Linked DNA regions of Coturnix japonica. The protein of the gene in region 2 purifies or fractionates together with the protein of the main gene of each other region. This does not show direct contact. Links are inferred from orthologs where the notes say so. Each region holds a gene or a part of one and is shown on either strand. Other genes may lie near its edges. The genes, in order: TIPIN, TIMELESS and CLSPN.

Evidence for each region.
Region 1: the proteins of TIMELESS (region 2) and TIPIN purify together in Homo sapiens (affinity purification with western blotting; 6 studies listed by BioGRID and IntAct, counting the BioPlex papers as one, with this or other methods). This does not show direct contact. The link is inferred for Coturnix japonica from reciprocal best matches to the Homo sapiens genes TIMELESS and TIPIN.
Region 3: the proteins of TIMELESS (region 2) and CLSPN purify together in Homo sapiens (affinity purification with western blotting; 4 studies listed by BioGRID). This does not show direct contact. The link is inferred for Coturnix japonica from reciprocal best matches to the Homo sapiens genes TIMELESS and CLSPN.

Annotation. Positions count from the first base shown.
Region 1 is NC_029525.1:16,731,569-16,741,396, reverse strand, and holds TIPIN (TIMELESS-interacting protein), read left to right. Parts: upstream 1-445; 5' UTR 446-561; intron 562-1,005; exon of another isoform or gene 1,006-1,158; intron 1,159-1,588; exon of another isoform or gene 1,589-1,642; intron 1,643-1,826; 5' UTR 1,827-1,854; coding exon 1,855-1,987; intron 1,988-2,561; coding exon 2,562-2,655; intron 2,656-3,234; coding exon 3,235-3,310; intron 3,311-3,976; coding exon 3,977-4,099; intron 4,100-4,500; coding exon 4,501-4,564; intron 4,565-4,965; exon of another isoform or gene 4,966-5,101; intron 5,102-5,335; coding exon 5,336-5,524; intron 5,525-5,868; coding exon 5,869-6,026; 3' UTR 6,027-6,513; downstream 6,514-9,828. Other genes in the region: MAP2K1 (dual specificity mitogen-activated protein kinase kinase 1), read right to left, coding at 84-163; DIS3L (DIS3-like exonuclease 1), read right to left, coding at 7,258-7,578, 7,654-7,828, 8,094-8,239, 8,473-8,648, 8,754-8,908, 9,001-9,534.
Region 2 is NC_029544.1:1,735,466-1,745,901, reverse strand, and holds the start of TIMELESS (protein timeless homolog), read right to left. Parts: upstream 6,408-10,436; coding exon 6,335-6,407; intron 5,369-6,334; coding exon 5,215-5,368; intron 5,136-5,214; coding exon 5,021-5,135; intron 4,924-5,020; coding exon 4,861-4,923; intron 4,212-4,860; coding exon 4,110-4,211; intron 4,015-4,109; coding exon 3,859-4,014; intron 3,783-3,858; coding exon 3,649-3,782; intron 3,571-3,648; coding exon 3,483-3,570; intron 3,384-3,482; coding exon 3,207-3,383; intron 3,125-3,206; coding exon 2,907-3,124; intron 2,834-2,906; coding exon 2,730-2,833; intron 2,555-2,729; coding exon 2,385-2,554; intron 2,317-2,384; coding exon 2,197-2,316; intron 2,121-2,196; coding exon 1,969-2,120; intron 1,902-1,968; coding exon 1,804-1,901; intron 1,731-1,803; coding exon 1,601-1,730; intron 1,524-1,600; coding exon 1,328-1,523; intron 1,227-1,327; coding exon 1,075-1,226; intron 962-1,074; coding exon 876-961; intron 791-875; coding exon 673-790; and 6 more. Other genes in the region: lens fiber major intrinsic protein-like, read right to left, coding at 7,192-7,581, 7,656-7,820, 7,932-8,291. UniProt on the Homo sapiens protein: Plays an important role in the control of DNA replication, maintenance of replication fork stability, maintenance of genome stability throughout normal DNA replication, DNA repair and in the regulation of the circadian clock.
Region 3 is NC_029538.1:3,748,685-3,756,349, forward strand, and holds the start of CLSPN (claspin), read left to right. Parts: upstream 1-1,812; 5' UTR 1,813-1,904; coding exon 1,905-1,922; intron 1,923-2,877; coding exon 2,878-2,998; intron 2,999-3,803; coding exon 3,804-4,255; intron 4,256-4,627; coding exon 4,628-4,795; intron 4,796-5,135; coding exon 5,136-5,225; intron 5,226-5,446; coding exon 5,447-5,519; intron 5,520-5,728; coding exon 5,729-5,837; intron 5,838-6,020; coding exon 6,021-6,562; intron 6,563-7,072; coding exon 7,073-7,264; intron 7,265-7,490; coding exon 7,491-7,665. Other genes in the region: protein argonaute-4, read right to left, coding at 757-775.

The DNA.
Region 1 (9,828 bases), on a different chromosome or scaffold from region 2:
CCCGGCGGAGCTGCAGCCCCTCAGCAGCCCGTGCTGGAGCGGCCCCGCCCGGCCCCTCAGCGAACAGCCCGGGCTGCACTCACTCTGCAGAGCTGGTCCCGTTGACGGCGGATCCATCCGGAGCGGGGTTCAGCTGGATCGGACCCGGCTTCTTTTTGGGCATGTTCCCCCCCGGTCGCGGCCCCGTTTGGGCCAGGTCCGACCGACTTCCCGAGATGAAGCAAAACTTCGGGGCCGCCCCTCAGCGCACAACGAGCGTGAGGCCGCCTCCACCACAAGGAGCCGAGGACACGACGCCGCCGCTCCGGCTCGGTACAGCCGTTAACACAGCCGGTACCGAGCGGAACCGAGCGGAACCACACAGAGCGGAGCGCGCACAGCACGGCGGAAAATAACTGCACGGGATCCAAGTGCGCCCTGCCCCGGAACTGCGCATGCGCACAATCACCGGCCACAAGGAAGCGCAAGCGCGGCCAGCGGGAGCATGCGCAGTGAGGGAGGGGAAGGCGGACCGACGCCGTGCCAGCACCGGGAGCTGAGCTTGGAAACAGTACGACCAAAGTAAGATAAACCATGACTTGTTGTTAAATACATTTGGGATATCAAGCGATTACCGCTCTCAGCACAACGTTATGTGGTGCTGACTGCAAGAGATGCTCATCTATTTAGAAATACGCGTTTTAAACGCGGGTAAAATCACTCGGGCTGAAGGGAAACGCGTGTATCATAGTATCACAGTCCCGTGTGGGTTGGAAGGGACCTCAGAGATCATCGAGTCCAACCCCCGGGATTCGAGCGTCTGTGCTGCAGAGCGGCACTTCTACCACTCGCGCCACAGGGGGGATTCGAACCTCTGACTCCGGTGTTAATTCAACCCGCTCAGTGTTACCGGCGCTACACGCAGCTCCGCCCAACGGACTTGGCGCCAACAGCGGCGGAGCGCAGCAGCTGCGCATGCGCATTAGCCCGGCCGGCCGGGGGAGCCTCCTCAGCTCGGCGGTGTCTGTGCGGTGCTGTGCGGTGTTGTGCTGTGTGGTATTTGTGTGGTATTTGAGCGGTATTTGGTGTCTTCGTCCGGAGCTCCCAGCGCTCTGAAAGCAGGAGAGAAGCTCCTTAAGGCGGTAGGAAGGGGAAAACCGTCAGGGCTGGAGGTGTGAGGGGAGCGGGGCCTCAGGGTGCGGCTCTGGGCGTCGTGGCGGGCTCCTGTCGGGGCGAGCTGTGTGTGAGCCCGGCTGTGGAGAGATACAACAGCCCTCAGCCTGGTGAGCGGGGATGTGAGGAGCTGGGGCCGTCATGAGCCTGAGAGACCTCGGCCCTGGCCTGTGGGTTGAAGGGATAAGCTGTAGGTTGGGGGACCCGCAGCTCAGGAGACTAAAGTTGTTAGTTTGTGTGGATAACAGCTGGCTTGAAAAGCACTTAGTCTGAAATGCTTTTGTTGTGTGCTTGTGTTCTTACAACGACCCACAGCCACCACTCCCAGGTAACCAAGTGTGAGAAGCCCATAATTTACTTGGCTCGGCAATACTGGGTTGTGTCATCCTTCTGCATAGTATCTGCTGCTTAATTTATGTAACGTGCTGTTTGGCAGAGCTTCCTGTGGAAGGGCTGGGTCTCACGTAGCTGATGTTTGTTTCTGTGGCAGGTTTGTTGGTTTTTGCATTCTTTTTAAATGCTTCTGATATTTCATAGGCTCGTTAAGGTTGGAAAAGACTTCCAAGACCCCCCAAATCCCAACTCACCCCCACTGTGTCCCCTGACCACATCTCCACTGTGGAATTTTGGAGTTCCCCATCCCAGTTCTCTCATCTGCTCTTTGTTTCCCACAGGAGGAGGAAGAAAAGTTAATCTGTGGCCATGATAGATCCTCTGGAGAACAACTTGTTTGATCTCCCTGATTATGAGAATACAGAAGATGAAACATTTCCACCCCTCCCACCTCCTGCGTCTCCAGGAAGAGCTGATGTTGAATGGGCTCAAGCTAATGGAGGTGAGAACCCTGTGAACCCTGGAGATTTTTCAGTATAGAATGAAATGCTGAGAGATCAGCTTTGTTGGAGTTCTACTTCAATGTGTTGTGCTTACTCAGTAAAAATAATCCAAGAGTAAAAAAAGCAGTTAAGTTGTTCTTGATCCATACTTGTGCAGTGAGTTTACCTTTGTAGATGCCATGGGAATGTTTGCATGCATGCACACAAGACTGCCAGCATTCCAGGGAGATGGTAGGAGTTTGGTTGTTGGTTTTCTATCTTAAGACAAAGACAGAAAGCAAAAAATAAAGTTCAAGTTACTTTCTATCAATTGTATATGGAATGTTCTGTGTGTGGAACAAGGGAGCAGGAAGTACGTAATTCTTGATGTACGAAAATTAGAGTTCTAACTCCTGGGTGTCTGATGTTTAGACTGGCAAAGTCTTAAACAAGAAATCAGTGTGATAGTAATTACTGCTGGGATGGATTGTGGTGCCGTATCCATTGCAGTCAAATGTATGAGTATTAGCCTGAATCAAAAAGTGAGTGAGCCATTTGTGCTGTATGCTTACAGTGTGTGATTTTCTTGGTTAGATCTGGATGGAAACCAGCAGTCAGAAACAAAGGATTCTTCTGCAGCTGCACGGAAAGCAGTTAAAAGATCGATACCTAAACTAGATGCTCACAGGTATTTTTGGACTTAGTGTTTCTTTCCTTGATAAACTTGGTGCATGGCTGTGATGTGGTAATTAAGGTTACTGTGATTTCAAGTGCACTTGAGTGAATCCTCAGTACAGTGATGTCTGCGAGGTGTGTTATGTAATTAATGCTGACACCTGACTTGCATCTGAAGTAGATAAACTGCCTGTAAAGGATGCAAGTACTTTCCTTGCTCTTACTGCCAAAACTGGTGTAAGTTCCTCACGAGCATTAGAAAGTACCTAAGCTTCAGGTACATTTTGTTTTAAACATACTGTTGAAGGCTTGGGTTGTGTATCAAGTTTTACATGGCCAGTGTAGGTACCAGAAATGACTGTTCCATTTTCTTTCCGTGTAATCCTAATAAAAAAGCTGTTTGGACTGGGGATGTATGTATTGTGTATTTTCAGAAACTCTCAAGTCTTACAGCAGTCTTATTTCCTGTGTTTTCTCCATCTGTCCTGAATAGAGTTCTGTAGCTTCGGGTGATAAGGGAGAATGTGTGCTTGTTTCTTTTTCATTAGGAGGAAGCTGGATTTCAGGTAATTTTACCATTGCATGTTTACAGGTTAGTTTCAGAAAGAGGACTTCCTGCCTTAAGACACATGTTTGACAGTGTGAAGTTCAAGGGTAAAGGGCACGAGGTAAGACGTGGTGAAGACGTGGTGAACTTCTGGGGTGTTTCCTGGCAGATTAGCTGAAATCAACAGATTGCTGCCTGTCTGGTGTGGGGAGGATTGATACCGAACTCTGGTTAAACAGCAGCTTTCTGACAGTATTTGGGCACATCCTGCTGTGGTTTGTAGTTGCAAGATTGAAAAATAATACTCTGCATGGCTGCTTTGTGAAATGGACATTTTAATCTTAAACCATGCCGGTTACTGTCCCTGTTTTACCCACAAAAAGAGGTTTTGGGAATTGGAATCGCTTTACAGGATTTCCTAGGTAATCTGGAATGCAGAACACACAAAAACATACATCAAAATAAATACCAGCTGTGCCCTGTGAAATTTTAGTTGGGAATTGCACCTGCATTGCTTAAAGGCATCTCAGAAACCTACCAAGTGTTTCACAGTGCACGCAAATGCTTTTCCCGAGCTCTTATTGCTTGTTTTCTTCCAGCTTTAATTGCACTTACAAACTTGATAGCAGGATGGAAGGTTACCCAAGCATTCATATTATTTTGATTTTCAAGAGATTTTCCAACTGTGGGCACTTTGTGTTTCCAGAAACATTGCTATCATGTTTCCCTCTGCAGTTTGCTGATTTAATCTGCTTCTAACAGCTGGATTTCTTGTTTTATGCTCAAGGCAGAGGATCTGAAGATGCTTCTACGACACATGGAGCATTGGGCTCATAGATTATTTCCAAAGTTGCAGTTTGATGATTTTATTGACAAAGTAGAGTCTTTGGGAAACAAAAAGGAGGTTCAGGTATGTATTACTCCTGTCGGTTTGCTTTCATGCAGTAATGAGCAGTATAAGGAGTTGGCTTAGGAGAACAGGCACACAGCAGAAGATTTAAGTTATATGGATCTCCTTTAATAGGGCATCTCTACAGAAGCAATCAGCGTTAGAGTGCAGGAACTACTTATGCTTGAACTTGGACTCAGAGGCTTATAAAGAATGTTGCTTCATGTGGCTGATGATAGAATAAGAACTAGAAAAATGATTGTGGTATTTAAGTTTTGGGTCGAACAGATGCATGAAAGAAATATTATTTCAGAATAGTACAGCATAAAGAAAAACTGGGAATACTGTTAAAAACATATCAATGTAAGACAAGATTTTTTCATAGATGAAACATCCCTAGTTTAATTTTTCCTCATTTGCAGACCTGCCTAAAACGAATTAGACTCGATCTTCCTATTTTACATGAAGACTTCGCAGCTCATGAAGGTAAGTTTGTTGCACTCTCAGTTCAGTACTTAAAACTGTACTGCCCCTCTTACTAACGAGGAGTTCATGATTGTGGTACATTTTCCTGCTGTAGAAGCTATTGTTGAGTGGTCCTCCTTTACAACCAGGCTTATGTAGGACTTAGAGCTGTAAAACCAGACTCAGAATAAAATGCTTCCTGTACGTATTAAAAGTGTGTGGCTTGAAAGGAACTTTTAGTAGGAATAAGAACTTTGTAGTCTTTCCTAACGTCCATTGCAAATATTTATATTCTCTCTCCCTGTGGGTCTCTCTTGAAGCAATTATCTGCACTTTTTTATAGTTCAGTTCTGATGAACAAGCTGTGTGATGGTAAAGCCTTGCCCTGCCTGTGGGCATTGCCTTTGGGCGGTTGATGACATGTGGCTGTCTTTGCTGTTGGCTGCATTTGCTAGAAATGGAATGCAGCCGTGAGCAGCCACAGATAGTGAGGTTAATGGTTCCTGCCGACAGTATCTGTAGAGGTATCAGATGTTCTGTGCGATGGTTCCGTACATCTGTATTGCAGCACAGTGCTGGTGTGTTCTTGAACCGCACTGGCAACCGTACGGCTGGTAAGTCACCAGCTGGAAAGTGTGCGTGGCTGTCCTACTCAAAATACAACTTTAAAATGTGGAATATAATCAGGAGTTACTTAAAATGCTTTTCTGATATATATTTAGTGGAAGGTCTGTGTTCAGTGTGATGCTTCCTGCTCCTTCTGGCTCTCTCCCTCCATTCCTTTTTACCCAGGTGGTGGAGGTGGAAGCAATGGGCTGGATGCGCCCACCGAAGACGTACATTCCTTCTCTGGAGAACTCGATTCTCTCCCGGTTACAACTCTCACTGAAGAGCAGCAGCAGCGAATCGAGAGGAACAGGCAGCTGGCCTTGGAACGTCGGAAAGCGAAGATGCAGTTAAACAGCCAGTCCCAGCATGATGGTAAGCAGTTCTAGTGTCAGTGTAAGCTCAGCCTGAGAGGTTCTGACAGCTGAGCTGCTGAGGAAAAGGTCCTTGGTACTTGCTTTACTAGAGAGTAGAGAACTGTAACTCCTGATCTTAAACTACAGTCCCGTAGGTAGATCCCTGTAAAGCTCAGAGATCCACTCTCCCCAGCTGACAAGCTGAACTGTGATAGCTTGTCTCTGGTGAAGTGAGGCTGACTTGCTAGTTGATTCTAGTGTTGGCTTTCCTGAAGGTTGTGATTCAGGCAACGGAAACTGCAGCCATCAGGCACACAGCAACAGCATTTTCTCACAGGAGGCATTTTGTTTTTCCTTTATCAGGGCTCTCTCATAGTTATCCTGAAGAGGAGTTTAACATCCCCGCTGCTCAGGAAATGATTGGTGCTTTAGAAGACACTCAAGTTACTGCGGCCAGTGTTGCTGTTACAGAGACTGAAGACACAGAAAAGGAATTGCAATGTGCCAGTGAAAAGCAGTGACCATTCCTCATGCTTTGAAGGACTTTCTTAATAGGACCCCAACTCTAGGGGGGTCCTTCATAGGACGCCAACTCCTACCGCTTGTATTGAAACATTGCTGGTTCTTTCCAGTCTGACTCCAGGGGTTTCAGGAAAGCCTTAACTGTTACGTCTGGGGAGCTGGTCACAGCTGTTTTCATGAAGCTGCAGATGAATCGCTCCCTATGTTGGAAAGCAGAACACTGTTCTTCAGCTGCAGATGAGACTGTTTTGTTCTCTTACTGACATTGTTTAGGAAATGGCTTTCCTGGCCTACTCTGACATCCTTCAGTTGATGTCAAACTGAATTTGACTGAGATGTTAAGTTTGCGTGCACATCTTTGATGCAGGATACATGATAGAGAATGGTGTTATACTTGAACAGGAATCCTGGATATTTTTTTAACTCACCAAGTAGTTGTGTGCGTTTCTTATGAAATGGAAGTTATTAAATTTCAAAAGTCAAACAAATTCTTGCATGAGGCAGTTTAAATTCAACTTCCCAATTTGTGCAAGTCATCGCACATTGTGTTTTGGCTTTGACTGAATTAGTCTCACTTTATCTGATCCTGTTTCCTGGCTTAAAGCTCTGTACTGTCACAGTACTGTCTTCTTCCTCTCTTATGCGATAGCTGCAGCAGTCCAGTGCACTCTTCTGCTCTGTAGAATGAATGTAGTTTCAAGGATGACAGCTGTGCCAGAGCCCTGAGAATGCCTTACCCAGCAGCATAGAGCAGACTTGCTCAGCCCTACCTGAGGCCCAACGTTGCACATAAGGCAGGTGAAACAAGTTCATGTCAGTGGGTTGTATATGATGCCAGTTGTGCAGCTGGGGAATTGTGCATAAGGGAGGTTCTGGGTTAGTGTGACTGAATTCATTTTGTGTGAACGTAGGTATGAGTTAAAACTCAATAGAGTGGAAAAGAACCACCAGTTGTACTAATTAGGATGATGGTAAAGCAATACTTTAGGTTTAAGAATGTAATGTATGGAGAACAAGGGTAAGCAGGCTTTTTTTCATTGAACGACAAACAAAAGGATTCTCAACACGGGTTTTAGTCTGGAAGGTAACATTTATCACATAAAAAATCTTTGTTGCGCATGCTCATGATCAGCTACAAAGAGATCTTATTTAAAACAGACAATTTATCTCATTAAAATGACTTCATTTTTAAAAATATACAAATTGTACAAAGTAACTGTAAGCAGAGCATCAACAACTACATGCATCAGCTGAGACATCTAATAGAGCCCAGTCCCTGATCTCCTCCAGCAGCTGGTACAAACTTGCTCCCTTTGTCTGGCAGTACTCCTGATACTCCGGACACTGTTCTTCAATTACTGCACTTCTTGCTTTTTCCTGGGCGCTCAGCGCTTCCGCAGACTGACTGACTGCTCTGACTAAGTCAGATTTCACCACGCCAAAATTCTTCTTGGAAATTTCTGTGGCTGAAGTCTGGAATGGGGCGTTCTTGATTATTTCAAGCTTGATTGTGTCAGCGTGGCAGCGGGAAGTCTGCACGAGTATCTTCACCTTAAAAGCAATTTAAAAATCATTTTATTGCTGACTATGCTATTTCCTTTTACTTTCTTCAAATTAAGTACTCACTGTGATGTGATCAAAGAGGCTTAATGTAACCGACTCTCCAGTGGTTGTAGTGGAAGTAATTCTATTCTGAAACCGCTGAAGTGATCCAGGCTTCCACTCACAGCTTCCCTCACCTTGACAAGACAGGACTAAGCCTTCCTTGTTTTTCATGTAAGCAGCACCTTTGATTCCATATCTACAAAAAAAAGCAGGTGTGTAGGCATGAGCATAGAAATCCTTCAGAAACCTTCTCGGTTACCTTGCTAATTTGAGCAATCCTTTCTCCATAGCGTCTCCTTTTCAGAATTAAAACATGGAAAAAACAATGTTCATGACTTACAGAAAATCTAAAATGCAGTCATCAGTCAGTGCTTCATTTCTCAAGGACCAGAGGTGACCTCGCAGCATTTCAGAAGCAAATGTCTGATTTTTAGTCTCAGTCCAAGCTCAAATCAACTTACCTTGGCACGAAAACAAGCACACCATTTGTTCGGATCGAGTAGATAACTCCATCTGCTACGCAGCGCTCATCTGTTTCTGGGCTTTTATCTTTGAAGTACATGCATTGGAAGAGTTCAGTAGACTGTTTCTGAGCATGCTGGGCTGCCTGCAGGCACCCCCCACAAAAAGAGAAGACAGAAGGACAGGTAAATATTCTCAGAAGCCTGTATGGCTTTGATATTATATATATTTTTTCCATTACTTATTCCCTAACCTGCTGAAAACAAATTGTATCTAGAAGGAGTGTTGCAATGCTGTAGTACCCAAAAGTCACAGCAGAGCGGTATCCTCTTTCCCTGGGTAACATGCAAACACAGACGCACACAGTGACCACCTTACCCTGTTCCTGTTGTTAATGTGTTTGCACAATTCCTCAAGATCCTTGTTACTGAATAATTTCTCCTTAACATCCTTAGTTTCCTTCAGAGTTGCTGCCATCAAGAGTCTGTGGACAACTATATCAGCGTATCTTCTGATAGGAGAAGTAAAATGAGTGTACTTATCTAAAGCGAGTCCTACAAATAAAAAAGGAAGCGATGAAAAGCAATCAGAGCATTCAGCTGCCCCACAGCAGTTCAGGAATAAGGGGAATTTTATAACAAATGAAAGTGTCAGGATACCATAATGATGAAACTCTTCCTCAGAACAAGAGCCAGTTGAGAAGTACAATGCATTTGACATTGCTTGAGTGGCCATAGATCGCAACAGCTTATTTACAATTGGATCCAATGGATCTTCCGCTTTATCCAGGGACTCAGCCAATGCTTTGTTAGACCTGTCAAAAAAGTGTTAATTTTATTCAGATTTATGTTACCCTGATCACAGTTAAAGTGTGTTAAAGTGCTTAAGAGAAGCAGTAAAAGATACCGTGTGTCTATTGAGAAACCTTTGGCGCTGGCACATTCTTGAAGGTCAGTAAAAAATTCCTGCCGTGGTGGAGGGTGTTGACGTAACAAAGCTTGATGAGGAAAGCTTTCTGAAATCTTTTTTGCCACCCAGTGGTTTGCAAGGATCATACATTCTGCTACAGTCTCGTGTACTTCCAGGGGCTGCTTGGGGATGAGATCATGAATGTTTTTTTTATCATCCAGTTGCACTCGGACTTCTACCCCTTCTAGTTCCAGAGCACCGCAGCTGTCCCGCTCAGCTCGAATGTGTCGTGCTATATCGGTGAGTTTTGATATCGCCCAAACCAGCTCAGACAATTTCTTCTCTCTTGTTTTTCCATCCAAGTCTTTCAGTTCCAGGATCTCATCAACAACACTTGTGTCCCCATCTAATAACCCCTGTGCTACTTCGTAGACTAGCTTGTATGCAGACCGAATGATGCTTTTGTTGTAGCAGACTTTCAGTATCTTGTACGATTCTCTTTCTAGTTCCCACAAGACGCTGACAGCGTACCTTAAAAATAAAACCCACAATTCTTTAAGCAGTTCTGGTTGACTCAACATTTCGAGCACATCCAACTGTTGCAAACTTACAGATTTCATTCTGTGCTGATTTTCTTTCCACATCTGTTTTGAAGCACCATTACACTGCAATAGTTTATTTCAGCTGTTTATGACCCCCTGCTACTTAGGTTACAAATAGTAACAATTCAGAGCCCATGCACACACAGTTACTCTGTGCCACGTGATGAAACATTTTTATTTCTGTGCATCCACAAAACAGGCATAGTCTAACTATGGAACAAAA
Region 2 (10,436 bases):
CTGCAGACGCTGCACCAAAGCCAGCCCCGTCCCCTCACTGGGGTCCCAGGGCTCCTCCATGGGGTCATCTTCTGCTTCATCTTCTTCCTCTTCCTCCTCCTCCTCCTCCTCCTCACTGTCCTCAGCAGAGCTGTGATGGGCTGGAACTGCTGCAGCATCTGCCTCACCCTGCAGGGACCGTAATACTTAGGTGCCCATAGCGGGGGGTTGGGTGCCATTAGGGGGGTTGGGTGCCCCTGGACCCCCCCCCACACACCATTTGGGGGCTGTGGTTCTTCCTCCGACGCTTCTTGTGCAGCTCCCTGCGTTCTGCCACCAGCCCCATCGCCAGCAGCTTCTCCACCACTCGTGCCCGCGAGCGTCGTGCCGTCAGGTTCTTCATGATGTTCCCCAGGATGTCTATGGGGAGGGGTCAATGTAAGGAGGGGTTGGGGGTCGGCAGGGAGTTGGACCCCCCCCCCCACATCCCTCCCCTTGGATCCCACTCACCGTCCGACCCCCTGAACTCCTCAAAGAGCCGCTCCAGCTCCAGCTCCTGCTCCTCCGTCCATAGCACAATATTGGTGCCCTTCCTGTTGGGTGAGGGAGGGGGGAGGACACAACTGGGTGCCCCCCTGGAAACACAGAGCGTTCCCCATCATGGGGGTCCCCACTTGGGGGTCTCATCCCCACCTTGGCCTTGGGAAGTCCCTGGCGCTGCCCGCCAGCCCCATTTGCACCAACTGCTGCACAACCTGCCGCCGTGTGCGGCCCGGCAGCTCGGCCATGATGGAGGCAATGATGTCCTGACCTGTGGGAGAGGGGGCTGTAAATAGGGGGGGGGGGCTGCAAGGGGGCTCCCCACCATCCCTTGGCCCCCCACAATGTCCTCATACCTTCTGCCTCCTTGTATTTCCAGAACAGCTCCCGCAGCGTCTGCTCTTCCTCTGGGCTCCAGGCGGGGGTCCGGCGTGCTCCAGCCCTGGGTAAAGGGGTGATGAGGAGGGGTCAGAGCTCCTTTCCCAGCCCTACAGCCCCCTCCCCATCCCCACTACCCCTCTGTCAGCCCTACAGCCCTCCCATGGCCCCACTCACCCCTCCCCATCCCTTAAGGAGCCGTAACCTTCGCTCATCTCCCTCACAGCCGTAGCGTTCTTCCAGAAGAGCAGCTCCACAAACGCCTTCTTGTTGGTGGCTGCCAGCGCAAAGAACTTACCCAGGATAAACTTGGCCAAGTCTACCAGCTCCTGGAGAGGGATGGGGGGCACAGAGGGGTGAGGGCAGCAGGATTAAACCAGGGCTGGAATCGGGGTGGGGGGGACAGAGAGGGGTTGAGGCTGTGACTCACCTGGTGGGCACAGGGGTCGTTGAGGAGGCGGTTGAAGAGGGTGAAGAGGGAGAGTTGGAAGAGCAGAGGCTCCATGCGCAGCTGCCGGGCCAGGCGGTGCAGCAGCCGTGCAGTGCAGTGGTTGGTGCGGGCACTGTTCTGTGCGTAGCCCCGCAGCAGCAAAGTGCAGGCACGGACCACGGGCACGCAGGCAAACCTGGACCCCCCCCCCCCAAATAATTAGTGAGCAGCTCTGTGCAGCCCCCCATCATTACTCTCAGAGGTTCTCCTCACCTCTTTAGGTAGTCCATGAAGTTGAACTCCTTCTCGGATACCCGCACTGCTTCCTCCTCCTCCTCTTCCTCTTCTTCCTCCTCTTCCTCTGGTTGCTCTGCATCCTCAGCCTCAAGGGGGGCTGTGGGTCCTGTAGGGGGCAGGGTTAAGGGTCCCAGAGCACCCCCAGACCTCAATACCAAGGGATGGGGCCGTGCACTCACGGGGCAGAGCAGCAAAGCAGATCTCCCGCAGCAGCTCCATCTCCTCGGGGGGCTCCACACCGGGGGGGCCAAAAACATCCCCTTCAGGCCACACTTCCCTGGATGGAGAGCAGAGGTTGGCACTGCATCCCCATATACTGAGGGGCTGGGGGGGTTGGGGGGTACCTGGCAGAGCGCAGCAGTCGCAGGGCATGGGGGGCCCTTCCCTCCCGCAGGGACTCCTGGATGCGCAGCAGAGCTGCAGCGCGCTGCTCCTCTATGGGGGTCTCTGAGGCAGCATCGAAGGGCACCACATCCTCAGGGAGAGGCACCGTGCCCTGATGGGGTGAGGGGGGGGTCACATCATCACCCTGCACCCTATAGACCCCCCATGACAGCAGGGTCTGTCCCTACCTGCATGCAGCCCTGCAGCTGCTGGGACACCGCTGCCCATTGCTCCTCCAGCTCGGCTGCACCCGGCGGCTGCGGCGCTGCAGGGGGACGGGGCTTCTTCCTCCTCCTCACACGTTTACTCTGCACAATGATGGGGGTCAGGAGGGTCCACAAGGACCCACACACAGCCCTTAGTGACCCCAACCCACCTGCACCACGAGGCCGGAGCGGCCGCGACAGAAACGCTCCAGCATCTGTAGGAAGAGATGAGCCGTCTCCACCAGGTCCCGTAGGAAAGCACGAGGCTGTTTTGTCTCATCGAACTTTCGGAATAGAGCCAGGAGCAGCTCCCGGTATTCCATCAGATAGAAGATGTGGTCTGGTTATAGGGGGGGATAGGGAAAGGAGAGGGTCAGTGTGGATGGATGGGACAGGCTGAGAGATGGATGCACAAAGATGTGGATAGACAGACACAAAGAGAGGGGGCCATGCAGACAGATGGAGGGATGGATGGACAGACAGCCACATATGGATGGCCAGAGGGATGGACTCACTCTTAATGACCTGACTGCTGTCTCTCACTGCTGGCTCTGGGGAACGATCCATCTCCTGCACCGTGCGCAGCAGCTCCTGGTAGGCCTTAAGGGCCAAGTGCATCCTGCAGGGGATTGAGGGGTGGTCAGGTAGTGATGCAGGGGGTCTCAGGGCTATGGAGGGGCTGTGACCCCCACCTGCGTGCCCAGGTGGTCGCCTCTTTCTTATCCATCAGTGCCATCTCGTAGTAGTTGGTGAGGTGCTGCTCGATGAAGTGGAAGGCTCGTACACCCACCGTCTCCGACACCAGCTCAGCACGGAACCCCCGGCCACGATTGAAGGCCATGAAGAAGGCAGTGGCCCACAGGTAATACGTCTCATCGTGCTGCTGGGCTTTCTCCCGCAGTAATTGATCCTTGGGGGGGGGGGTTCAACACAGGGTGAACCAGACTGGGAGGGGTGACTTAAAGTGTGGGGAGCCACCCCCACATCCTCACCTTGACCAGCAGCATCAGGCGGTTGTAGCAGTTCTCCAGGAAGTCCTGGCAGAAGCAGCTCAGGAAGAGCCGGACGTTACGGGCTGAACGTCGGGGGGGTCCCGGCTCAGGGGGGGCCCAGCGACGCCGCGGCACCCGACGTGTCTCCTTGCCCATGTCGTGGCTGTAGCTCTGCAGCTGTGGGGTGAGAGGGGGGAATGTGAGCTGTGCCCACCACGCTGAGCCCCCTCCACATCACACCGAGCCCCCCCTGCTGCTCCCCATCCCAGCTCTCACGTTGTGCAGCCCCTTATGGAAGATGACGTCGTGCTCCCCGATGGCCTTCAGCCCCTGGATGACGTAGGAACCACGGAAACGAGAGTGTCTGGAGGGGAGAATGCACATGATGAGCCATGTTGGCTTTACGACAGGGCCCTGACCCCCCCTCCAGCCCCCTCCCCACCTGGCTGGGCGCTGCAGCATCCGTGCTCTGTGCTCTGCCAGCTCCCGCTGCCTCAGACTCTGCAGCTCCTGTGTGTCCTCCCCACACTCTGCACCCACCCGTCCCTGTCCCAGCGCTGCCAGCTGCTCCGGGCTCTGTAGGGTGGGATTAGGGGGTGTCAACAGAGCTGGATGGGGGGCTGGGGGTGGTCTCCGTGCCCACCACGCTCACCTGGTCACGGAACATGAGGGAGATGATCTCAAGGACGTGCAGAGCCCATTGCTGCTCAGTCGGCGCGCTGGCCAGGAACTTGAGCAGGTCATCCATGCCACTGATATGCAGAGCCCACAGCACGCGGTCGTGCACGCTGGCATCGCCATCCACACCCTGAGGGGCAGCACAGAGGGGGGTGGGCAGCACGTAGGGCACCTTACAGTGGGGATCCCTGTGTCTGTACCCCCCCCCCCCCTCCTTCCCAATACCTGCTCCTCAGCGGGGTCGGGGGGCACGTGCAGCACGTTGCGCACCAGCAGCAGGATCCGCTCGATCAGCAGCGTGTCCTCCTCCTGCCGCTGCTCCCAGTCCTGCAATGTATGGCTGTCAGCAACCCCATAGCCCACCCCAGACCCCCCCCCAGACCCCCAGCTCCACCCCCAGACCCCCAGCTCCCTATCTTCCCCCCCAGACCCTCAGTCCCATTGTCTCCCCCTCCCCCCACCGACTCTCAGCCCCACTGCCAACCCCCAGGCCCTCAACCCCACAGCCACCTCCCCGGGACCCCGTCCCATAGATCCCCCCCCAGCCCCATAGATCCCCCCCAGCCCCATAGCTCAGCCCCAGACCCTCAGCCCCATTGTCCCTCCACCCTGACTCTCAACCCCACAGCCACCCCCCTGGGCCCCCAGCCCCAGAGCTCCCCCCCTAGCCCCATAGCTCAGCCCCAGACCCTCAGCCCCATTGTCCCCCCTACCCCAACTCTCAGCCCTACTGCCACCCCCACCCTGCCCTCAACCCCACAGCCCTGGGTCCCCAGCCCCATAGCTCCCCCCTAGCCCCATAGCTCAGCCCCAGACCCTCAGCCCCATTGTCCCCCCACCCCAGCTCTCAGCCCCACTGCCACCCCCCCAGGCCCTCAACCCCATAGCCACCCCCTCAGGCTCCCAGCCCCATAGCTCCTCCCTAGCCCCATAGCTCAGCCCCAGACCCTCAGCCCCATATCCCTCCAGCACCCACCAGCTGCAGCACTTCATAGAGCTTCTCGCTCAGCACCCCAAACACCTTCTCACTGGCGAACGCCTGCAGAAAACCCCTTATGAGCACCATGTGTGCGTGTTCGGGGGGGGGGGGGGGGAATTTGAAGACCCCCCCTATGGCTGTATCCTCACATCCTCACCTCTTTATACGCCTGCAGGTAGGACAGCACCTGCAGGAAGTGATGCCGGGCGGTGGCGTCTGACGGCACTTTACCGAAGCAAAGCAGCGCTGGCTGTGTCAGGTTCACCATCAGCCTATAGGGGTGTGGGTGGGATTCAGGACCCCAGCCCATGCTGCCCCCGCACCATCCCCCCCATCCCTACACCCCGGTACCTGATGACGGTATCGAACAGGGTCCGATCCTGCGGGTATTGAACGAGCAGAGGCAGCAGATCGTTCTGTAGGATCTGAGCCGCTCCCAGCTGCTGCCGCACGTCCCGACTCTCATCCTCGTGCCGCAGGTACCGGATCAAATCCTTCACGCTCTCTACGGGAGGGGTCGGTCAGAACACGCCCCCCCCCCCCCCCCCCCCCCCCCCCCCCCCCCCCCCCCCCCCCCCCCCCGACGCCTTCAAGCGGCAACGCCCGCACCCACCGGGTCACCCCCCCCCCTTCCTCCACGCACCGCCCACTATAAACAATACCCACGCACCGTAACGCGCTTCTCCCCCCTCACCCTCCCTTGCGGTGAACACTCGCCCACCCCCGTTATCCCCGCACCGCGCTGCTCCCCTCAATGGCCCCACCTCGACGTTGCCCTTTTAAGAAAGGCTCACGCTGCGCTGTAGCCCCGCCCCGTGGGCGGGACATCGCCTGGGGCGCGGGAAGTCACCGCACCGCGCTCTGCCCCCCACCCCCATTAGCCCCCATATCCCCCCATACCCCCATTTAACCCCCCATATTCCCCCTCCCCATATCCTCCATAACCCCCCATTACCCCCACCCCCATACCCCATTAATCTCCATATCCCCATACCCCCCATTTACCCCCCCATATACCCCCCATTTACTCCCATTTACCCCCCATATCCCTCCCCCCCCATTACCCCTCCACATCCCCTCACCCCATTACCCCCCCATTTACCCCCCATATCTCTCACCCCCATATGCCCCCCATATCCCCCATATACCCCCCCATATACCCCCATATCCCCCATACCCCCATTACCCCCCCATACCCCCATTACCCCCCCATATCCACAACCCACACAACATAACACCCCCATTACCCCCCATTACCCCATTACCCCCATACCCCCATTACCCCCATTACCCCCCATATCCCCCCCCCCCCCCACGAGAGCCGTTACAAAATTAAGCGTAGGTTTAATTTTCACCGAACACAGAAGCTCGGTCACGGCGGGGGGGGCCGGGGTTGTTGCGGGGGGGGGTGAGGCCGTTCGACCTCTCCGCCAACTCCCCCCACGCACACCGACGCCGCACACACACGCACCGCAACGCCCCGACACCAGCAAAGGCGGCCCCGGGTTGGGGGGGGGCGGCCCTATAACCCCTATAGCCCCCATAGCCCCTATAGACCCTATAGCCCCTATAGACCCTATAGCCCCTATAGCCCCTATAGCCCCTATAGACCCTATAGACCCTGAGTCTTCAGCCTCCAGCGTTCAGCCGGTAGCAGATTCGGCGGGGGGGCGCGGTGACGGGGGGGCTCCCCCCGCAGCACGGCAGGCGTTCAGCCATGCTGACGGCCCGAGGACACAGCGCCAGCTCGTACAAAAACAGAAGCCAGCCAAACCCGGCACCGAGCAACGGACCGCCCAGAAACAAACCTTACGGGAATTGGGGAGCGGGGCGGCGTGGGGGGGGGAGGCGAGGGGACCCCCCACCCACCCGAGATAAGGGGAAAAAATGTGGGGAGGAAAGGGATCACTGAGTGGGGTGATAAGGGATGCCCCCCCCCCCCCCCCCCCAAGGTGGGGATGACTGGGGGCTGCTGCAGGCTGTTGGGTTGTGGGTGGGATGGGGGCATAGGGGGCAATGGGACAGAAGTGGGATGGATTGGGTTGGGATGAGATGGAGTGGGATGGGACCGGGATGCACTGGGATAGGGCTGCAGTGGTCTGATTGGGATGGACTGGGGCAGGAATGGGATGGACTGGGATGGACTGGGATGGACTGGGATGGACTGGGTGGGATTGCGGTGGGTTGAGGCTGATTGGGATGGACTGGGGCAGGAATGGGATAGACTGGGTTATACTGGGATAGAACTGGGATGGGACTGGGATGCACTGGGACAGGACTGCAGTGGACTGATTGGGATGGACTGGGTCAGGAGTAGGATAAACTGGGTTATACTGGGATAGCACTGGGATGCACTGGGTGGGACTGCAGTGGATTGAGGCTGATTGGGATGGACTGGGGCAGGAATGGGATGGACTGGGATGTACTGGGATAGAACTGGGATGGGACTGGGATGGACTGGGATAGGGCTGCAGTGGACTGATTGGGATGGACTGGGGTAGGAATAGGATGGACTGGGTTATACTGGGATGGACTGGGTGGGATTGCAGTGGGTTGAGGCTGATTGGGATGGACTGGGACAGGTCGGATGATGGGTTGGAATGGACTGAGCTGGACCGCAGGGTCCCCCCCACTTACCCAGTGGTTGGTGAAGTTGCGGGTGATGACAGCGGGGGCAAAGGAGCGTGCAGGGTTCATACCAGCACCAGTGTATGGGATCTGCGGGCAAGGAGGGGGTGGTGGGTGAATGCTGCCCCCCACCCCTACCCCATGGGGCTGCCACCCCCCCTTACCCCAAAGAGGTGTCCGAGGGCGAGGGAGAAGCCGACGGGCAGCGCAGCGGAGCCGGGGCGTCCATCATGGCGCTCATCGAAGCTGGCGAAGACGCAGAGGATGAACTGAGCCGTCAGCAGCAGCTCCACCACCGTGCCCTGACCTGGACCCACACTGGGGTGCAGCTGTGGGGGGAGATGGGCTCAGTGCTCTTCCCAATTCCCCATTAACCCCCTTCAGCCACCCCCAGCCCCACAATACCCCAAACACCCCCATTCTCCCCCCATCCCTCTCACCGCACTGAGGCCCAACGTGCCGCGCACGGCAGCCGGTGTCACCCCATAGAGGACTCCAGCCCCCGCCAGGGCACCCAGGAGCTGAGCCATCATGTAACCCAAAGCACGGGGCAGGGAGAGCTGCGATGCCAGCAGGAAAGCCAGCGTGATGGCCGGGTTGATGTGGCCACCGCTGACGTGCCCCAGCGCCTGCACCAGGGTGGCTTGGGCCAGCCCGAAGGCCAAGGCGGACCCCAAGACCCCATGGGATCCCGGGGTCCAACGCAGCGAAGCCCCCAACCCCAGCAGGGTGTAGAGGAGGCTGCCCAGGAACTCAGCCAGGATGGCCCTCCAAAAGGAGGACGAGCGCAGCTCCCGCATGGCCCGGCCCCGCTGCGGCCCCGCTCCCCTCCCGGGGGCTGCCCGCACCCACCTTTATAAGCCCCCCCCCCCCCACCCAGCCCTGGGGGTGGGACCCCACTGCTGCCACCCCCCCTTAACTGCTTCGCTGCCCGGGATATGGGGTGGGAGATGTGCTGTGTGAGACCCCAGTGCCCCCCTTAGGGGCAGTCCTACAGCCCTAAGAGTGTGGGACCCCCACCCAGAGCTGTGCCCCCCACCCCTGGGGATGCCAGTTAGGGGGTAGCTCTGACCACCTTCTATAGGGCCTAGGGTCAACAACATACTTGGGGCTGTGGACAACACTGTGACAACCCCCCCAGACCCCAGCCAAGTTTTGGGGTGATACAATGGGACGGCAGCACTGGGATCCAGCCCACCCCAACCCCACACATCCTAAGGGCTGCAGGTGCCCCACACCCAGCCCCACATCACAGGGGTGCAGGTGCCCCCCCCGGGGGCTGCCACTGACCCCCCCCCCCATGCCTGGCGCTGGTGCATTCAGGCTGGCTTAGCAGGCACTAAGCCCCCGGCCGGGGGGGGATTAGGGCTGAGCACAGCCATTGGTGCCCATAGGAATCTGCCGGGGCTGCAGAGGCTCCGACAAAAGGCTTTGCTGCACTCAGCACCCACAAAGGACAGGAGCAGCCCCCTGGCCCCCACTATGGGGCCAACGGGGGGGGTACAACATGGGGGGAGCGCAAGGAGAGGCCCCACAGTGACCCCGTGCACCAGGACCCCCCCCCTCATCCCACAGCACCACTTTGCTCTCATCTCTGGCTCAAAGTCACCTTTAATCCCCATGGGGAAGAGGATGGTTTGGAGTGGGGGGGGGGAGGAGGCAAGGAGCCCCCCCAAGCTCACCCATCAGGCCAAGCCTTGGCCATGGGAGGATGGGGGGGTACAGGCAGCACTGAGGGGGGCGGTGGGAGGTGAGGAAGGGGATGGGGTGGTGGTCTCCACTAGTGCCACATCCCGGCAGGTGAGGCAGGCAAACAGCTTCTCCCGGGAGGCACCAGGGGCGAAGATGAACTCATAGCAGAACCCAGCCAGAACAGCACCCAGCACCGGTCCAACCCAATACACCTGGAGGGGGGGGTCAGTGGGACCAGTAGGAGGGGGGATACCCAGGGTGACATGGGGGTCGGGGGCTGCCAGGGGTCCACACTAGGGATGGGGACTGAGCAGAAGGAGCTGCTCCAGGGGTGAGGAGGGAACCACGTTTGGGATGGAGCTGGAGGGCCAAAGGATGGGGTTGGGGGGACCTGTTTTGTGATGGGGGGATGAGGAGGACCCTGTATGGGGGTGAAGCTGAGGGTAATTCAGGGGGAGCAAATGATAGGCCGGAAGGGGGGGGGCAGGGGGATTGGCTGTCCTGGGGGAGGATGGGATGGGATGGGATGGGATGGGAAGGGATGGGATGGGATGGGAAGGTCATCCATCCCCACAGTGGGGTCCCTGGGGATACCCAGAGTGCTGTGACTCACCCAGTGGTCGTCCCAGATGCCGGTGACGATGGCAGGTCCCAGTGAACGGGCTGGGTTCATGCTGCCCCCCGAGAATGGCCCCTGGGGGAGCAGGTCAGGAGTAGCCAGGCCAAGGGGCTGCAAACAAGGGGCACTGGGGGGTCCTTACCGCAGCCAGGGCACCAGCAATGACGGCACTGCCCAGTGCCAGCCTGTTGGGAGCAGCCTCACGGCTGGTGGTAGCGAAGGTGGTGAACGCCAGCTGGAAAGTGGCAAAGATCTCCCAGCACAACGCCTGCCCCGCCGTCCCTGCTGCACTCACCTGCGGGCATAGAATAAACCTCAGCACCCACCAGCACCACGATGGGCACAGGGACAGGGACACTCACCCTGGTGACCATCGTGGTGTCATCCAGCAGCGCCAGGCGAGCAGCAGCGGCAGCCAACACAGCCCCGGTACATTGTGCCAGCAGCACGGCAACCCCACGCAGGGCACCCAGTTTGTGGGTGCAGAGCAGAGCCACAGTGAGGGCTGGGTTGGCCTGGGGGGCCCTGAGGGCACAGCTCAATGTCCCAGCCACCAGCCCCCCCGCCAGGGCTGGAATCAGGGGGCTGGGGGCAGCTGAGGCTCCCAGGACCACCCCGGTAAAGATGAGAGTTG
Region 3 (7,665 bases), on a different chromosome or scaffold from region 2:
AGAGCCACATCCAGCCTGGCCTTGAATGCCTGCAGGGATGGGGCATCCACAGCCTCCTTGGGCAACCTGTTCCAGTGCATCACCAACCTCTGGGTGAAAAACATCCTCCTTATATCCAACCTAAACCTCCCTGTCTCACTTTAAAACCATCCCCCTTGTCCTATCACTGTCCACCCTCACAAACAGCCGTTCCCCCTCCTGTTATACGCTCCCTTCAAGTACTTGAAGGCCACAATGAGGTCTCCCCAGAGCCTTCTCTTTTCCAAGCTAAACAAGCCCAGTTCTCTTAGTATCAATAAATACCTAATATTTCAACCGAATTAACAATTATACCAAGACAAGTCACACTTCGGTAGAGAAACCCAACCGGCAGAAGAATTAGCTCGGCTATTAAAACACAAGCAAGAAAACACCACATGCAAAATAACACCAGCATTCAACCACAGGCTGCTGACCAATATAACGCCCTCATCAGCCTCTCTGTGCTCACAGCCTCTCTGTGCTCACAGCCGCTGCCGCCCATCCCAAGCACAGCCCGAGTGCCCCATTGACAGCTCAGCCATCACCCGCCCCACAAACTTCCCCCGTAGTTCCCAGCCGGTTCCAGGCCGTGTCGTTCGGTTCTCATCGCTCCAGGCTCTCCCCGCGGCCCAGCGGCCTGTAGCGGCTCCCGAGCCCGCGGCCTCCGCTTCCTCCACCTCCTCCCCTCTCCCGTACAGCCCCCACCGGGGCCTCGCCCCTCCCGCTGTATCTCACCGGGTCCCAACGCTTCCATAGCGGCGGCGGCGGCGGCGGCCTCGCTGCGGTCCCCCCCGGCCCCACCGGCCGCCCCGGGCCCCGCCGCCGCCGCCGCCGCGTAACGCTTGATCTCGGGAATATTGACTTCGGGATGTGGGCCAGGCGAGGAAACGGGGGGGAGCAGCGGCGGTGGGGGGGGTGGCGGCGGCGGCGGGGGGGGAGCTGCCGGAGCTCCGCTAACCCCGAGCGGCGTTGCAAACAATCCCCCCGCTGCGCGCCGCCGAGCGCGCCCCCGCCGCCGCCGCCAGCACGCGCCGCCTCCCGCCGTGCGCGCCCCCTCCACGCTGCCCTGAGCCGCGGGAGCGCGCACGCACAACGCCCCCCTGCTGGCGGGCGGGAGCGCGCACGTCGTTACGCACACAGGTGAGCGCGCCCCGCCCCCTCCCAGCAATGAGGCGCTTCGGTCCGTTGGTTCTCGGCTCTTTTTAACCCCATTTTACACAATATAAAACACATTTTACACAATATAAAACATCGCCTCCATCCGGAGCCATTATTAGAGCCAAATTCAGGCCCTGTGGTAACTAAAGAGGCGCTGTGCGGCCTGGCAGCCCGCTGTTGTCACTCTGTCCGTTCTATGATGTGTTAGAGACATAAAAACAGCCACAATTACCCGGATCTGCACAGAAATAACAGCGGACACCTCACAAATGTCACCGGGAACCTCAGAAATTGCTGTTTTTTCTCCCTTTATCACGCTGCGAGATGCAGCCTGACTTTTAATTGCGACAAAACAACTAATAAACGTTATCAAACCGTTTTTATATTGTACAAAGTGCGGACCTGTCGTGTATATATATATATATATATATAAGGTGAATCGGATCTTACATTGTGTAGGTTCGGGTTGTGGTGTCACCGCGGCCCGACCCCGCACTGAGGAGACCCCGGTACCACACGGAGCTCCACCCCCACACGGAGAGCGCTGATTGGACGGTGCTGGAGAGGGCGGGGCGAAGAGATACAAACACCCAATCAGACACAAGGAAGGCGGGGCTTAAAGGGATGTGCTGAGCGATGATTGGTTGGTGCTAAAAAAGGGCGGGGCTAAAGCAGCGCGCGAAGACTCGAAGAGGTTCATTAGGCGGCACAGGCCGGGCCGGGTCATGGCGGCTCCCGTTGAGGTGAGTGTGACCGCACCGTGTGTTCATCTGCCTCCTACCGGGGATATTACAGCTCCTGTGACCGCAGGGCTGAGGGCGGACATGGCCATTGAGCGACATGGCGGAGCTTCCACAGCTCAACCGGGCGGCCCCGCAGCTCCGTCCTCCCGCCTTTGCTTCAGGACTGCATTTCCCAGAATGCTCAGGGAGGCGGCGCTCACTTCCGGCTCGCGGTGCATTGTGGGAGCTCGTGGCGGCCTTCCGGTGTGATGGCGCTTCACTTCCGGTTGTAGGCCGCGTTTGGTCGTAATGAACTCAAAGCGCTGATTGAGTTGTGTGTGTGTGCGGTCACGTGGGGCACAGGCACGTTTAGACACTAATAAACATTGATAGAGTGTGGAAATACGAGGACAGGCTGAGGGAGATGGGTTTGTTCAGCCTGGAGAAGAGAAGGTTGCGGGGAGACCTCATTGCAGCCTTTCAATACCTGAAGGGAACCTACTCTTCCCTTAAACTCTTCGGAAGGGCTGACAATAGCAGGACACGGGGAAATGGTTTGAAGTTAAAGGAGGGAAGATTTAGGTTGGATGTTAGGGGGAAGTTCTTCACTAGGAGAGTGGTTAGGCCCTGGAACAGGCTGCCCAGGGAGGTTGTGGATGCCCCGTCCTTGGAGGTGTTCAAGGCCAGGTTGGACGGGGCCATGGGCAACATGATCTATGGGGTCTCTATGGGGATCTATGGAGTCTCCTGGGCAACCTGATCTAGTAAATGTGTATGTTTGGTGGCCCTGCCAGGCAGGGGGGTTGGAACTACATGATCCTTGAGGTCCCTTCCAACCCAGGTCATTCTGTGATTCTGTGATTCTGTGAAATAAAGGCCAATGATGTCTATGTGATCCTATGAAGGAGCACAGCAAGGCCTCAGTTGGGCCCTATGAGTCGTTGGTTGCTAAGAACAGCTGCCCTTTGCTTTGTAGCTCCAAGCAGAAGAGCTGGATGTGGCTGCGCTGAAGGCCCAGGGCAGGGACACAGACAGCGGGCAGGGCAGCACTGAGCCCCCATCACCAGCCATCAACACCACGTCACTGCAGGATGGAGGTCTGTAATGGGGCTGATGGGCTTCACAGTGGGGATCTGCTGGGCTGTATGAGGCCAAAGTGCCGCTTTGGTTGCTTAGGATGTGACCAGAGAGCTGTAGATCTGACAAAAAGGGGTTTCGAGGTTGTCACGAGTTATTGAGATTTACCTATGACCGTGACAGGGGGGAGCCACCCCATAGGGCCCCCAGGGCCTGGAAAGGAGGGGGGAAAGGAAAATGGGATAAAAACAGCGGCAGTCTAAGGAGGAAAAACTTATTTTACTAAATATGATATCGGAATACAAGATAACACAATATAATATAATTGAGGCTAATAAATCGAACGAAACACAAGAGAGAGAGTCCCCAAAAACCGAGAGGCCGACTGTGAACTAGAGGCGACACGGCTGGAACGCTTCCCACTCTCTGAGAGTCCAAAAGAAAGAGAGAGCTACAGCCTGGGAACAAGATTATACAGCGTCCTGGTCCCGTGACTCATCCCTGACCTTGTTGTTCTCTGGGATCTGTAGTCTTCTTCTGTGGACTGCACATTCAATAGAAGTATCCATGCTTTACATGATGTTATGATGTGGAATACTGATAGCAAAATTACAAAACCATGACAGAGGTACAGAAAGGGAAGTTATTATTTCAAACTTTATTCATGTCAATATAACTGATGCCAACAGTTAAATAGATTGACATCTGTAACATTTAACAGATGCATAACTGTATACACTGTATTGATAACCGATTGCTTGCTAATTAACCAGTGTAATGTGCTTTTCCATAGCACGTATCACTTCTTTTAATATAATTTTCCAGATTCAGAAGAAGAGATTTTTGTAAGTAGAAAAGCAAAAGGCAAGAAGGTGCTTCAGGACAGTGAAAGCGAAGATGGGGAGGACAGTGACTCTTCTGTGCAGAAGGAATCTCAGAGTGGAGACAGAGAAAATGGAGAGGAAAAGGAGGATGTTATTGCCCAGAGAAACAAGAAATCCCGGATTCGGCAGGCTGTGCTGGACAGCGATGGCAGTGACAATGAGGATCATTTGCAAACTGATAATCTTGACACAAGCAAGAAGTCTGACTTGCCTGAGAATGAGCTGGAAGAGGAGAAACAGCTGAAGTCTGGGAAAAAATCCAGAAAGCATAAACATGGTTTTGAAGGTGAAGCAGCTGAAAAAGCTGTGGGGAAACCCAGAAGAAGAAAAGAGAGGGAGAGAAGAGCTGAGTCCATCAAACAGCTGATAAAAGGAAAGAAGCCGAGCTCAGAGGTATGTGCTTTTGGCAGAAAATCTCAGGTGCTTTCCACATTAAGTTAAATGTTTATCAGTATTTTTGTTTCGGTGCTTCTGCGTCCTTTGTGTCCTCATTACTGCAACAGACAGGGTATAATATCCACAAGGATTATTGAGTCCCATTAATTTTAGCTGTAGGGAACACTGCTCCATAAATTTAGCTTATCAGTTTTGCGGTGCTCTGAAGTAAACAAGTCCGGCTTATGGGCAAAGCAGATGCTAGACTAAGTTTGGCCATACCCACATTCTAAGTTCCCTCGAGATCTGTTGACAGTAATAAATGCACATAGAAGAACTGAAGAGGAAATCCTGAAACAAATAATTCAGCTATTTTCTTTCTGGACCCAGCAGGTGGATGGTGGTGAGAGGAATCCTTCAAACGACAGTGGGTGTCTTCTTGATGACAAAGAACTTTTTGATAATGGCTTAGAAGAGGAAGATGATTCCTTCGCAGGGGACGAAGAGTCAATAGAGTCAATACGAGCTGCAGTGAAAGAGAAAATAAAGAAGTACAAGGTATAGCAATAGAACATTGATGGATATTAGCAGAAAGCATTTTATTTGAGCATATGTGAAACCTATTGACAATTGTTCTGTTTATAACAGAGGGTAAAACAGTCCTCTGTTCTTGAAGATAGAGGAATGTGTATTGGAAAGTTATAAGGCTACAAAAGAAGCTTTGGAGATTTGCCATAGTGTTATACAGGATTTGTGCTCGTTGATGAGGATGTGTACAGATCCTGTTTTGCTGGTTTTGGTGACCAGTTATGATATTATATAATAATTTTGACTTGTTTGCCCTCACTATGCCTGTCTATGTACTGAAATAAATGAATCTCTCTTTTACACACTGTAGAACAAAGAACGGTTTTCTGAGGATGAAGGCTACAAACATGTGTTTGATGATGATAACGAGGAATCTGCATTAAAAGAACCGAAAAGGAAGGTGAAGTATTTTTATGTTGTTTGTTACAGTTACTCAAACCACTGGGAGTTTTTGGTGCCTTTTCAATGCTATCTTATGCTGTTGTTGATTTGCTGTTTGTCAGTTTCAGTTGGTTGTTTTGTGCTGACTTCTTGTTACTTGAAAGAGTAACAGCTATTCAGGGAATAGAGTCCCATAATTTTCCATTCTGACTTCAGAGACCTTTCTTTTCTTTTCTTAAGGAGCGGAAAGCAGCAAAGTTGAGTAAGGAAGCCATTAAACAGCTACACAGTGAGACCCAGCGACTCATTAGAGGTACGACTAAATTCTATTAGTATGTAGTGGGGTTTAAATTAGTAAGAAATTCAGGGGAGAAATGGAAAGGATTTGTCTGAAAGTGTGGATCTTTCTTTTACCTGGCATTAGTTACTTAGGGTTGAAGATTAAAAGACCGCTTTTAATCAAGGACCTTTTTAAAGGTATAAATGCCTTAGATGACTATTCAATTTTTCTTGCACTTTCAGAATCATCTGTGTCTCTCCCATACCATATGCCTGAGGCCAAAAGTGTTTGTGAATTCTACAAGCGTAGATCCCGACCAGTGTATGAAGGAAATGCCATGGCGTTACTGAAGTAAGGACTTAAACCTTCCTCATGTATTATCAGGAATATTGAGGATATCCCTCCTTTGCTCCAGTTTTTTATCCTTCACCTCTTCCTATACATCAATAAGAGAAAACTATTTTCTTCTCTCAGTTTGTTCTCAGCCTTTTCTCTCCTTTCCTGATAACCATAATTTCTTTCTGCCTTCATTAGGTCCACTAAATACCAGTTCACCCTGAATGAAGAAGCTGAAGGCACGAAGACCTCAAGCACAGGTTGCAAAGACGGGCCAACAGAAGGTGGTCAGTCAGCAGCTAATGAGCCAGAAGCAAATCTTGGTGGAGATGTTGATACTGCTGCCAAGGATCCTCGCCTTGGTGTAGGGCAGAACTTGACAGAAGACTGTGCTGAAAAGTCCAGGAAGAACAATGATGATTCTCGTAGTGCTGTGACTGTAACAACTGCCAGTGAAACAGAAGAACTGCAATCAGTCCTAAGCACTGATTGCAGTGAACAGAAAGAGAGTGAGGTTCCTCTACCATTTGAAGGCAATGCTCTGGAGCAAAGAGGTGAAACAGCATCAGGCCTGGAAAACAACCAACAAGTGAGGCCTGAATCAACAGCACAGCCTGAAAAAGTGAAGAAGTCCAAACTGGATAAACTCCGTGAGCTGGGAATTGATTTGACCATCAAGCCAAGAATCTGCTCTGGCAATGAATCTTTTATAAACCTCGATGAATCTGATATGAATAAAGGTATCACTTATTTTTGTCATACTGTCAGATCTTCTTAAGTAAGCAGAGTGAAACTAAATTTAAAAGGAAAACCTCTAAGAAGCGTTAGAGCAAAGTCAGGCATGTTTTCTTACCATTACAGATTCTAATGTGTTTCCTTTAACTAATGGTGGAATGGGAAATTCTGATTCCTTAGTACTCACATGCCTGAAGGAATGCTTACTCCAGCCTTTAGTCTTTAGTATATATATTAAGAGAAATGTAGAGATTCCTGGTGGCTGGAAGTGCAGAGTGGCATTGAGTTGAGGTCTTGTGGATAAATCATACTCAGTGGTAATGTCATGTAGTACTACTTACTGCAGAAATACTCTGTAACGATTTCTTATGTCAAATTGTTTTATAACTACCAGAATGTCCAGGGTTTACAGTTTTTAATTAACTTCTTTTGAAAAAATGTTAAGATCTGCTCTTGATACAAATTTAATAGTATCAAATTCATTTACTTTTCATGCAACCAATGTGGATTTAAAGAATTAGAAGCCTTGAAGGCGCGTTTCCTGAAGCACACCCTTCAAACATCGAAACCCAAAGCAGAACGGACCATAAACATGAACATTATTCGTAAGGAAACCACATCGGAAGGAAAGGAGGAACTAAAAGCAGACGTGGTGCCAGCGGTTTTAGCTGCAGAGAGCCTGGATGAAGCAGCCCTCACAAAGCCAGGTCAGTCTGGGAGTTGTGGTGGTTATTTCTTGTGCTATAACACATCTGCCCATGGCTCTCTCTCTCTTCCAGCTGACAGATCAATTCATAAAATCATTTAAAAAACGAGTTGTTTTAAAATTGCGTTGATGTACGTGTAGTTGCATTACATTGGATGCTTGAAAGCAACAAGGTTCAGGATTCAACGTAGTACATCTAACATAGGAATTAATTCATTTCTGTCCAGGTGAAAAGCTGCAAGTGCTGAAGGCAAAACTCCAGGAGGCCATGAAACTCCGCAGGAGTGAGGAGCGCCAAAAACGGCAAGCACTGTTCAAACTGGATAATGAGGAGCTGCTGGAGGAGGAGGAGGAGGAGGAGGAAGAGATGACAGATGAGTCTGAGGAAGAGGAGGAAGGTGA